3 linked regions of the Oryctolagus cuniculus genome follow. The protein of the gene in region 2 interacts with the protein of the main gene of each other region in a biochemical or structural test. Links are inferred from orthologs where the notes say so. Each region holds a gene or a part of one and is shown on either strand. Other genes may lie near its edges.

The links. The genes of interacting proteins can lie anywhere in the genome.
Region 1: of the proteins of MAPT (region 2) and PRKACA, one has a biochemical effect on the other in vitro, tested with the Homo sapiens proteins (9 studies listed by BioGRID). The link is inferred for Oryctolagus cuniculus from reciprocal best matches to the Homo sapiens genes MAPT and PRKACA.
Region 3: the proteins of MAPT (region 2) and S100B form a complex in vitro, tested with the Homo sapiens proteins (2 studies listed by BioGRID). The link is inferred for Oryctolagus cuniculus from reciprocal best matches to the Homo sapiens genes MAPT and S100B.

Annotation. Positions count from the first base shown.
Region 1 is NC_091447.1:62,969,352-62,972,097, reverse strand, and holds the end of PRKACA (cAMP-dependent protein kinase catalytic subunit alpha), read left to right. Parts: intron 1-14; coding exon 15-179; intron 180-554; coding exon 555-680; 3' UTR 681-2,099; downstream 2,100-2,746.
Region 2 is NC_091448.1:17,309,968-17,314,217, forward strand, and holds the start of MAPT (microtubule-associated protein tau), read right to left. Parts: upstream 2,909-4,250; 5' UTR 2,734-2,908; intron 1-2,733. UniProt on the Homo sapiens protein: Promotes microtubule assembly and stability, and might be involved in the establishment and maintenance of neuronal polarity.
Region 3 is NC_091435.1:240,285-243,407, reverse strand, and holds part of S100B (protein S100-B), read right to left. Parts: intron 1,375-3,123; 5' UTR 1,366-1,374; coding exon 1,228-1,365; intron 1-1,227. UniProt on the Homo sapiens protein: Small zinc- and- and calcium-binding protein that is highly expressed in astrocytes and constitutes one of the most abundant soluble proteins in brain.

The DNA.
Region 1 (2,746 bases), on a different chromosome or scaffold from region 2:
CACCCCGTCCACAGGTGCGATTCCCGTCTCACTTCAGCTCGGACTTGAAGGACCTGCTGCGGAACCTCCTGCAGGTGGATCTCACCAAGCGCTTCGGGAACCTCAAGAACGGGGTCAACGACATCAAGAACCACAAGTGGTTTGCCACAACCGACTGGATCGCCATCTACCAGAGGAAGGTGGGTGTCGCCTCCCCACCCTCTTCCCCTGCCCCGGGCATTGGGGAGAGATGGAAAGGGAAGAGGGCACAGGCTCTAGGCAACCTGGAGTGGACAACCTAGACGTGGAGGCCTGGAGATGGGAGTCTGGGGCCATTTGGTCGCTCCGTGCCCCCCAGGCAGCAGCTGACCCTGTCTCTAGGAAGTCATTGGCTCCTTTGGGGAGCCGGCTGCCGTTCAGAGTCTCGGGTTGGTAAGGGGAGTCTATACCTTAAGGCCGGGCACACATGTGGGTCCCAGTAATTATCTCCTGGGTGTTAGGCTTTTCGCATTTATTGTTGTACTGATGTCACTTGTTGACTACTGAAGTCTGGGTGGCTCTTGGTCCCTCTCCAGGTGGAAGCTCCTTTCATACCAAAGTTTAAAGGCCCCGGGGACACGAGTAACTTTGACGACTATGAGGAGGAAGAGATCCGAGTCTCCATCAATGAGAAGTGTGGCAAAGAGTTTGCTGAGTTTTAGGGGTGTACCCGTGCCCCTATGGGTTTTCTTTTCTTTCTTTTTCTTTTTTTTTTTTTCGGTGGGGGTGGGTGGGAGGGTTGGATTGAACAGCCAGAGAGCCCCCCGAGTTCCTTGCATCTAACTTCACCCCACCCCACCCTCCCAGGTAGGGGGGAGCAGGAGGCCCAGATATTTAGAGTAAAGGAACCACCAGCCGCACCCCCTCCTGCCCCTCCCCCAGGAGCCCCCACCCCCAACCCACTTCTGCCTGTTTTAAACACGTTCATCAGCTCCAGTGAGACAAGGTCTTGCTGGTGCGTCCAGGGACAGGGTGCAGAATGAAGGGCCCAAACTGAACTCCAGCCCGGCACCCCTGTGCTTACCCCACCACAGGCCGAGGGCGACAGCGATGGAAAAGCCAACCTTCCCTTTGGAGCCGGGGCCCAGGGGAAGGAGAGAGTTTGTCTTTTTTTTTTTTTTTTTTTTTTTTTTAGTGACCTGTTCAGTGGGCTTCTTGCTAGGATTTTTTTTTTTTTTTTTCTTAAGAAACCATTTAAAATCTTATTTAAAGTCCACCAGTGCCTCCTCCACCCCCGCCCCCCAAGCCCACGAGAACCAGGCTGGGAAGGAGATCAGCTTTGTCCAAGGAAGGAGCTGGGGTGTGAGCCTCCGCCCCCCCTCTCAGGGTGGGGGGCGGTGGGGGTGTCCCCTGCCAAGCCTGCAGGGGGTGGGGGTCTCAGCCCCCTGAGCAAGCCCCTACTTCTCCCAAGAGACCTTTCCTCACCCTTGGGATTTGGAAGTCAGACAAAGCAGCTGCCCCTCTCCCTGCCAAAGAGTCCCCACCCCACCCCCACCCCGAGCCCCCCAAGAAAAGAGAGGGAGGGAGGGAGAGCCCAGCCCAGGGCCTCTCCTCCGAACTCCTGAATTTTATTCTCAGCTAGATTTTAAAGGCCCAGCCTCCCCGCCAAGGCAGCAACCCCGTGAAAGGACTAAGAGGCCAGGTCCCCCACCCACCCACCCCATGGCCCAGGGTTCAAGGCCACGGCCACTGGGGAGGGGCTGCCCGTTTTTATTCACCCAGTAGCTCTGGCACGCCCCGCCCCCCACCCCAAGCTGGGCACCTCGTCTCTAGCTTAACTGTCAGCTGTCCATCACCTCTTTCTTCCCGCCCCCACTCTCCTACGTCTGATTTGTGCTTTTTCCCCCCTCTCTTAAAAGTGGGGAGCAACTGGGGAGCCACCCCACTGGCCCCCCACTTTGCCCCTCTCTCTCCTAAGTTCTGCCCATCCCGGGAGGAGCTGCCAGGCCTGGGGTGGGGCCCGGGTGGGCGCTGGGGGCGAGTCAACCTGTGTGCGCAAAGGACGAGACTTCCTCTTGAAAGTGTGCTGTTGTAAACATATTTGAAAGCTATTACCAATAAAGTTTTGTTTAAAAAAAAAAGTGTCACTGGCGTTCCCGACTTCGGTCACCCACCCACACATCTCTCCCCGCGGCTGGGAGAGACTTGGGGGGCTGTGGGACCCCAGCGGCCAGGCTGACCAGGAACCGGCCGGGAGCCCTCGGAAACCCGGGTTTTTGGTTTTTTTTTTTTTTTAAGCTGGAATCGCGCCCCTCCCCACCCCGCAGAGGAAGGGGGCACCTCAGCGCCCTTTGACCCCGGGGTCGGGGTCCCCAAACCTGAAGCGCGGCCCCTGCGCGTCCAGCCCGGGTCCGAGAGGGCGCTCTCGGGGAGACACGGGCGCCGGCGCGCCGGGAGGCGGCCGAGCGGCGCGGGGCGGGGAGTGGGGGCGGGAGGCGGTGCGCGCCCCCTCCCCGCACCCTCAGCGTGGGACCCGGCGCGCCCTCAAGGGGCGCGGGGGCGGCCCAGGCGCCCCGCAGCGCCCCGCGAGCGCAGCGGCCCCGACCCGCGGGCGGCGAGTTCCCGGTAAGTACGGTCCCAGGAGCGGAGCGCGCCGGGGAGGCGTGGAGAGGGGGGCTGGGCGCCGGGGACGTCTGGGTCCCGCGCCCAATGGCTGGAGGGCGGCCGAGCGCCGCCCGCCCGCCCGCTCTCCCCTCCCCCCGGCGCTCCCCTCCCCCTCCCCCGCCCG
Region 2 (4,250 bases):
CCGACTGTCACTCACCAACACCCAGCAAAGCCAACAAACCCTCCCAAATCATCCAAGGTGAACCCCAAGCCAAGCCAGGCTACTGCCCCAAACACACCTGTTACGGAGGCAAACGCCAGGGGGTGGATTAGCGTCATGAGTGGCTGTGGACCTGGGGGGGGGGGCTTTCCCTCCTCTCCCCCTCCAGCCAGCCACACATTTCTTTCTGTACTCAGAGGGAGGGTTAGAGATGAGGGGCCGGAAATTCATAAAACACAGCTCAGAATCAGCCAAGCGGGAGAGACATTTCTCTTCCACCGTAGTATGGGCGTGGAGGGGGCAGGGTGGGGGAGGGGCCGGCCAGTGTCGCTGTCCCAAGGGGGAGCCAGCACTGGGCCAGGACTTGGAGCTACAGGTTCCTGAGTACCAGGGGGTAAGCGGGGTCTCCCGGGAGGGAAAAGAGCCCCCCGCTGCTGGAGCCGTTAGGGGGCGGGGGTGAGTGTCCCTAGGCACCACCGCGGGGGCTGGGCGCTGCGCATTCCCTCAAGGTCCTGGGGTGACACCATTAAGCCCCCCAAAACGGAGCGAAATCTCGGACCATGGCACCGGGCTAAAGGTGTTGTGCCTGCCGGGCTCCCTCTCCTCCCCAGGGGCTGCAAAGGGCTCCCCCTTTCCCGGGCCGCCCCAGCGCTGCCGAGGGGCGAAGGGCTGGGGGAAAAGGATGCTTGACTCAGTCCGGGGCGGCTCCTGCGGGCGCTCCACCCCAGCCAGGCTGTTCCAAGGAGCGGAACCCGAGAGGCCTGCGCGGACGAGCTGGCCCGACCACGCTCATCGCTCTCGGAGCCCCACGCCCACACCAGTTTCCAGCGCTGGAATAAAGCGGAAAGCCATCACCCGGGAGGTGGCCGCATACCCCCGTCTCACTGCCAAATGCGGCGACGAACTCCGACTCTTAAGTGAAAATCTCGCACTTAGCAATATTAATTAGCCCAGCCAAGATAATAAAATACATCCGGGACGCCTGTCTGGGTGGCTGCGGCCGCCGGGGACTAATTAGAAAGAGCCACAGGTCAGGGACGGGGGACTCCCCAGCGCGCGCATCTCGAGGCCCGCCCTGGGTCCCCAATTTCCGCGGGGAGGGGGCGGGGCGACGCCGCCAGGGTCCGTCACCGGACGCGTGCGGTTCCCATGGCAACTCCCCACTCAGCTAGCTCGGTGGGTCTGGAAAAAAATGGGTGTGGCGGTGGCGCCCGAGGGAACCTCACGCCCCCTCTTGACATTCTCCAGCCTGGCGTAGCAACAGGGCGTAAAGCCGGGAGAGACGCCGGCGGCGAGCGCGCCCCCATCGCCGGACAGCCGCGCGGGCGTGTCCCCCAGGACGCTGGCAGCCTCGGGAGGTGCACGGCGCGCCCAGACCCCGAATCCCACCCCCCTGGGCAGGGAGGGCGCTTCCCCCGCGTGGGGCTGACCTCCGGGAAGGGTGGCGGCTGTTCCACCAGCGCCCCGGAGGCTCGTGACCAGGGCTCATGGACCCCCGGCAAGCACCAAGAGCCGACAAAGGGTGGGAAACGAGGGGGCTAGGAGTCTTGGCTGAACGCCCTCGTGGAATGGAAGAAACCCCCAGACGGGGCCGCGAGCACGGATCACGTAAGCTCTAGGAACAAAGCAGCGAGCTGTCGAAGAAAATTCCGCGTGCTCGACCCCCGCGCTCACTCCCGCAGCATCCAAACGCCGCGATTTCGGGGCTGATGGTGTCCCCCCACCCAAGGCCAGTCCGTGCCCCGTTCCGCGGAGCCCGACCACCCGGCTCGGCTTGGGAACAGAAAGACGTGACAGCCGCAAAAAGATGGCACCTCGCGTTCGGCAGGGAAAAAACGGGGGAGGGGTGGGAGTGGGAGGAGGCACAGCCTGCTCCCCCCTCCGCCGCCCACCCGGGTCCACACCCACTGCCGCAGTGAGGGGCGAGCCCTGCGCGCCAGCCCCGCGCCTCCGGCAGGGAGCGCCCGGCGCAGAGCGAGAGAAAGGGACCCGCCCCGAAAGGCACCTGCAGCCCCCGCGCCCGGCTGTGCAGGGCTGCGGCCGTGCGCGCCCGCGAGCCGGGAGCCGCGGCCCCGCAGTCCGTCCACGTCGCACGGCCCGGGGCCGCCTGCCTCGGAGGGCGTCCCCGCGGGGACCCACGCACCATCTCTCCTCGGGCGCGGCGCTGCCCAAGTCCCCGTGCCAGGCGCGCGCAGGGGGAAGGGCGGCTGGAATGACAGCGCCTGGCCCCCTCCCCATCTCTCGGGTTCCTCCCAGCCCCCAAATGTCCCCTGTGGCTTTCTGAAGGAGGAACGGACGGAGGAGGGGGCGGCGAGGAGGGCGCCGCCGGGGAGGTGCGGGCACGGAGGTGTGCGAGCCATCGTCTTTTCGAGAACCCGATCCGGGTCTTGTTCTCAGCAGACAGCGGCAGAGAAGTCGAATTTGAGGTTCGGTTTCGGGGGTCGTCATTGGACTCCCCCCTACACACACACACGCCCATTGCGGCAAAAGGCTGCGATGGAGGACAGAGCGCAGCCCCCTCCCCCAGGCCACCATCCGCGCCCCACCCTGCGGGCACAGCCTCCGCCCGGGACCCCAGCCACACAAGCGCACGCACACACACGCGCCCCGGTCCACGCCGCCCGGCCCCAGCCCCCGCCGCAGGTGGGCATTAAACTCCGGCTGCGGCGGCTTGCGGAGCGCACGGGAGGCGGGTGTCCGAGTCCCGGCGCTTACCTGGTAGTCGGCAGACGGCGAGGACTGCAGCGGGCAGCCGAGGGAAGGCGGCGGCGCTGGCGGTGTGCAGACGGTGTGCAGCGGCGGCGGCGGCGCTGCTGCTGGTGCCGGAGCCGGTGGGTGGCGGTGGCTGCGAGCGCGCGCGCGCGGGCGAGGGGGCGCGTCCCCGAGCCCGACCGGAGGCGCAGGCGCGAGCCGCGGGGGCACGAGCCACCCCAGGGGCGGGGCGGGCCGCGAGGCCTCCGCGGGCGCCTTCTCCTCCGGCCGCCAGGGGGCGCGCGCGAGCGGCCCGCCCACGGCCCCCGGCTCACTCCTCTCCCGAGTCCCCTCCCCCACGTCTTGGGCCGCGGCGCGGCCAGCCGCGCGCACGCGCGCTCCGTAGCGCACGCGCACTTTAGGCCTCCCGCGGCTGCAGCCTTTGTCTTGTTGGGGGGTCTCCTCCCTCCGGCCCCTAGCTGAACGCGCGCTGCCATGCTGCCCTTTTGGTTTCCATCTGCCCGGGGCGGTGTCCTATGTCGGGAGCCCGCGGCGGGTTTCCGTGCACCTGCGACCTCCGCGCCTCTCCCCCGGGTCCCCCCGAAAGGCGCTCCCGGCTGGAGGTCACCGGCCCCGCTGCCTGTCTCCTTGCTGCTTGTCACCCTTTTTTGTCATTGAACAAGGTCACTTCTTTGCTTCATCGATCCGTGTCGTGGTGCTACTGTTACGGGTTCGTTTTTAAACGAACGGCTGCTCGGATCGCAGCGCAGCCGCGGCTGCAGGTGCAGCTTCCGACGCGGGTCTGCCAGTGCCTGCAGGGCACCGTCGGCCGGGATGGCTCTCGGCAGCCTGAAGCTGACCTGCGGCTGCCCTGGGAGTCCACACATCCCCAGCATCCGAGGAAGCCCCGACGTGGGAGACAGAAAGGGGCAGGGGCGGCCGTCTCACCCTCGCGGACGGGGGCTTGAACTCAGCCTTTCCTTGCATGGCTCCTTTTTTAGACCGATGTATGCTTTTGGATTAATATAAAAAGCAAACAGTGAAAATCCTGTCTTCACACGGGTTTAATTATTATTGGGAGCAGCGGGTAGATGATGGAGCTGGGGCTAACTGAAAAAAAAAATATCATTGATTTTCATTTTTGAGAGGCAGAGAGACAAAGATACTGACTTCCATCTGGTTCTGTACCCAAATTCCTGCAACAGCCAGGGCTGGCCCAGGAGCTTGGACGTCCGTCTGGGTGGCAGGGACCCAGGTAGGTGAGCTGCCCAAGGAGCGTGTGCCCGGCAGGAAGCTGGAAGGTGGAGCAGAGCCCAGGCACTCCTGTGGCCCGCGGCATCCCGCAGTTTCTTGGAGCGAATTTCTCTCTCTCTCTCTCTCTCTCTCTCTTTCTTTCTTAAACAGATTTATTCTATTTATTATTTGATAGGCAGAGTTACAGAGAGAGGTAGAGACAGAGAGAGGTCTTCCATCCACTGGTTCACTCCCCAGATGGCTGCAATGGCTGGAGCTGCACTGATCTGAAGCCAGGAGCCAGGAGC
Region 3 (3,123 bases), on a different chromosome or scaffold from region 2:
ACATTAACAGTGCTGGAGGGTCACAGGGAATGGGGACAGAAGAACCCCAACCATCCTTCCAGACAACAAACAATGTTTTGTTGTTGGAAACCAGCAGTGTTGCTCTGCACTGAGAGACTCAGCTAGTGCAGGAGGGTGGTTCCCCATCACCATGCAGCAGGGCCCTACCCCAGTATCTTCTTCAGGTACTAGTACTTTGATTTCTCCTGTGTGTGACTGGTCATATTGATGCCCAGAAAATTCACTGATGGCAAAAATCCCACCCTACCTGTGCACATGACCACTGTTTCAACCTGTGATCCAGCCTTAGTTCTGGCATTGTGGGAATCAGGTTCTGGGTGGATTACAGTTCACTTCCATGAGGGAATGAGGCTGGTGGGCAGTAGAAGCAATGGGCAGCTGATCCAAGGGTAGTGGACACAGAAGGAAGGAAAGTGAATCTTTCATGCCAGTGTCTGGATTTCTACCATACACCAGAACAGGAGCTGCATGGAGAAGGATAGGGCTCATCAGGAGCCCTTGTGCAGCTTCCTAAATAGGAGCCCAAACTAAAGGCAGTTTCTTGCCAACATCCCTTACTCCACAGAGGTGCCTGTAAGGCCTCAGGGCTTCCACAGTTTGTGCACAGGCCTGCTCATGGCCTCAATCAAGTCAGTCACAGTCAACCATTGATGGACCAGGCTGGATGCCTTGAAAGTAGAGGCCATTGACTTGTATTGACTTGTATCTCTCACAGTGTTGGATTATTGAGGGATCAGTAAATGTTTACCAAATGAATGTCTGGCACTTTTTATCTCCGTGGTAAATAGTAAACATCTAGCTAAAGCCAAAATATATCCTCTCCCCCAAGCAGAAGTTTATTAGCTTGCTTATATGTTCACTTTGGCCAATGGTAAGTCATGAGTATTTTTTCATCCCATTCTGCTATCATTATCATTTGTAAGTCCTTAGATTTTCAGAGAAAGGTCAACATGATTGGGAATATTTACTTCTACAGCAGTGTTTCCTGATGGGCTGTTGTGCCCACGCCAGGTGACAAGAAATTGAAAACAAAGAGGCCCATCCAAGTGAGTCTGCATACAATGAGGACTCAGTAGTGCAAAGAGGTTCTAGAAGCAACCCAGGTATCCCAAGACAGAACTGGAATCACCTTCAGAGCAGCTCAGAAAAGAAAGTGCAAAGTCATTCTATAAGACAGAAGAAGGGATAAGCTGTAGCAAGACTCACCTCTAAAAAATGCGAAAGCTCATTGTTGATGAGCTCCTTTAGCTCAGATTTCTTCAGCTTGTGCTTGTCGCCCTCCCTTCCCGAATACTGATGGAAAACATCAATGAGGGCTACCATGGCCTTCTCCAGCTCAGACATCCTAGGAGTCTGCAAAGGAAAGATGCCTTCTCATGCTTTGTCCTTGTTTGTACATAACACACTGAACACGTCAGCCATGCAGAGGGGGTAGTAGACTGGCCTTAGTACATCTGTCCGGCCCTTGAGCAGGTGAGTGTCACCTGGAGGTGCATTCTGGGAAATCTGCACATTTATGACGTTCTTCCTCTTTGCTTGTTAGATCCACCTCCCACATGTCCCTTTCTGTGTCCCTGTGGTCTGCAAGGATGAGTCCCAAGCCTGCTGGCTTCTGGTTGGTCTGGGCCAAAGGGAAACTTAAGAAAAAACTGAGAGCCAAAGCTGCAGGAACGTTCAGGGATTGATGCCTGCTTCTTTCCTCATAGGCTGCTCTCTGCCCTTGCAGGCTCCGGGGTGAGGAGACACAGAACAGGTGAGCAAAGCATCAACTGCCAGTTGATAGGGTTAATCAGCAAGCAGTCAGGTGATGAGGAGCAAAGTAATAGCAATCAGCAGCTGGACAATATCCTATTCATATAGCAGTAACACATATTGTCTAGGAATAAGAAAAACCAAGTCCCGGTAAAAGACTATAGAACATGAAATGTAGGAACTTGTTTTCTTTGAATATATAAATTAAAGTCATTTTTCATAAAAATGTTAACGAAGTTTTTTGGTGATGTGTGAGGAACCTGACAAAGTAGCTATAAAGCTAATCTGAAAAATAAATGTGCCACAATTTGTTTGGAAAATAAGGGACAGGCTCTTTGTGTAGTGGTTAAGATACTGCTTGGGAGCTGACATCCCAGTTTGGAGTATGCACTTTACAGTCCTGACTCCACTGCTGATTCCTGCTAATGCACCACTCCTGATTCCAACTTCTTTTTTTTTTAAAGGTTTATTTTTTATTTATTTGAAGGGAAAAGTTACAAAGAGGAGGAGAGGGAGGAGGAGGAAGAGAGAGAAAGAGAGAGAAAGAGAGAGAGAGAGAGAGAGAGAGAGAGAGAGAGAAATATCTTCCATCTGCTTGTTCACACTCCAAATAGCCGCAGCAGCTGGGGCTGGGCCAGTCTGAAGCCAGGAGCCAGGAGCTTCTTCTGGGTGTTCCATGTGTGTGCAGGGGCCCAAGGACTTGGACCGTCCTCTGCTGCTTTCCCAGGCCATTAGCAGGAAACTGGATTGAAAGTGGAGCAATCAGGTCTCCAACTGATTCCCTTACGGGATGACGGCATCACAGGCGGAGGCTTAGCCTACTACACCACAATACTGACCTCTGATTCCAGCTTCTTGCTAATGCATGCCCTGGGAGGTAGCAGGTGGTAGCTCAAGTAGTTGGGTAGCTGCAAGCACATGGAAAACCCAGATGGAGATCCTGGCTCCTGGCTTCATTTGGCCCCGCTCCAGCTGTTGCAAGCATTAGAGGAGTGAACCAAGAGGTGAGCATGCTTGGTCACTCTCTGCCTTTCAGATTATTTAAAAGAAAGAAGAAAGAAAAATAACAATGAAGGGCATTTGATTTACCAGAAATAAAAATATATCCTAGGTTTTATGATTAAACTGCTGTAATCCTGACACAGGAGTAGACAGTGTGCAGCAGGACCACAACTTGGGTGTTTCGTGGACGGACCTCCTGCATTGAGGGGGAAGCGGAACGTGACTTACTCATTTCTGTGCCTGGACAAATGCAGGGATAACAGTTTCTCTGCAGGGGCTGGCTCTGTGTTATAGTGGGGTAAAGCCGCCATCTGTAGTGCCAGCACCCCATGTGGACGCCAGTTTGAG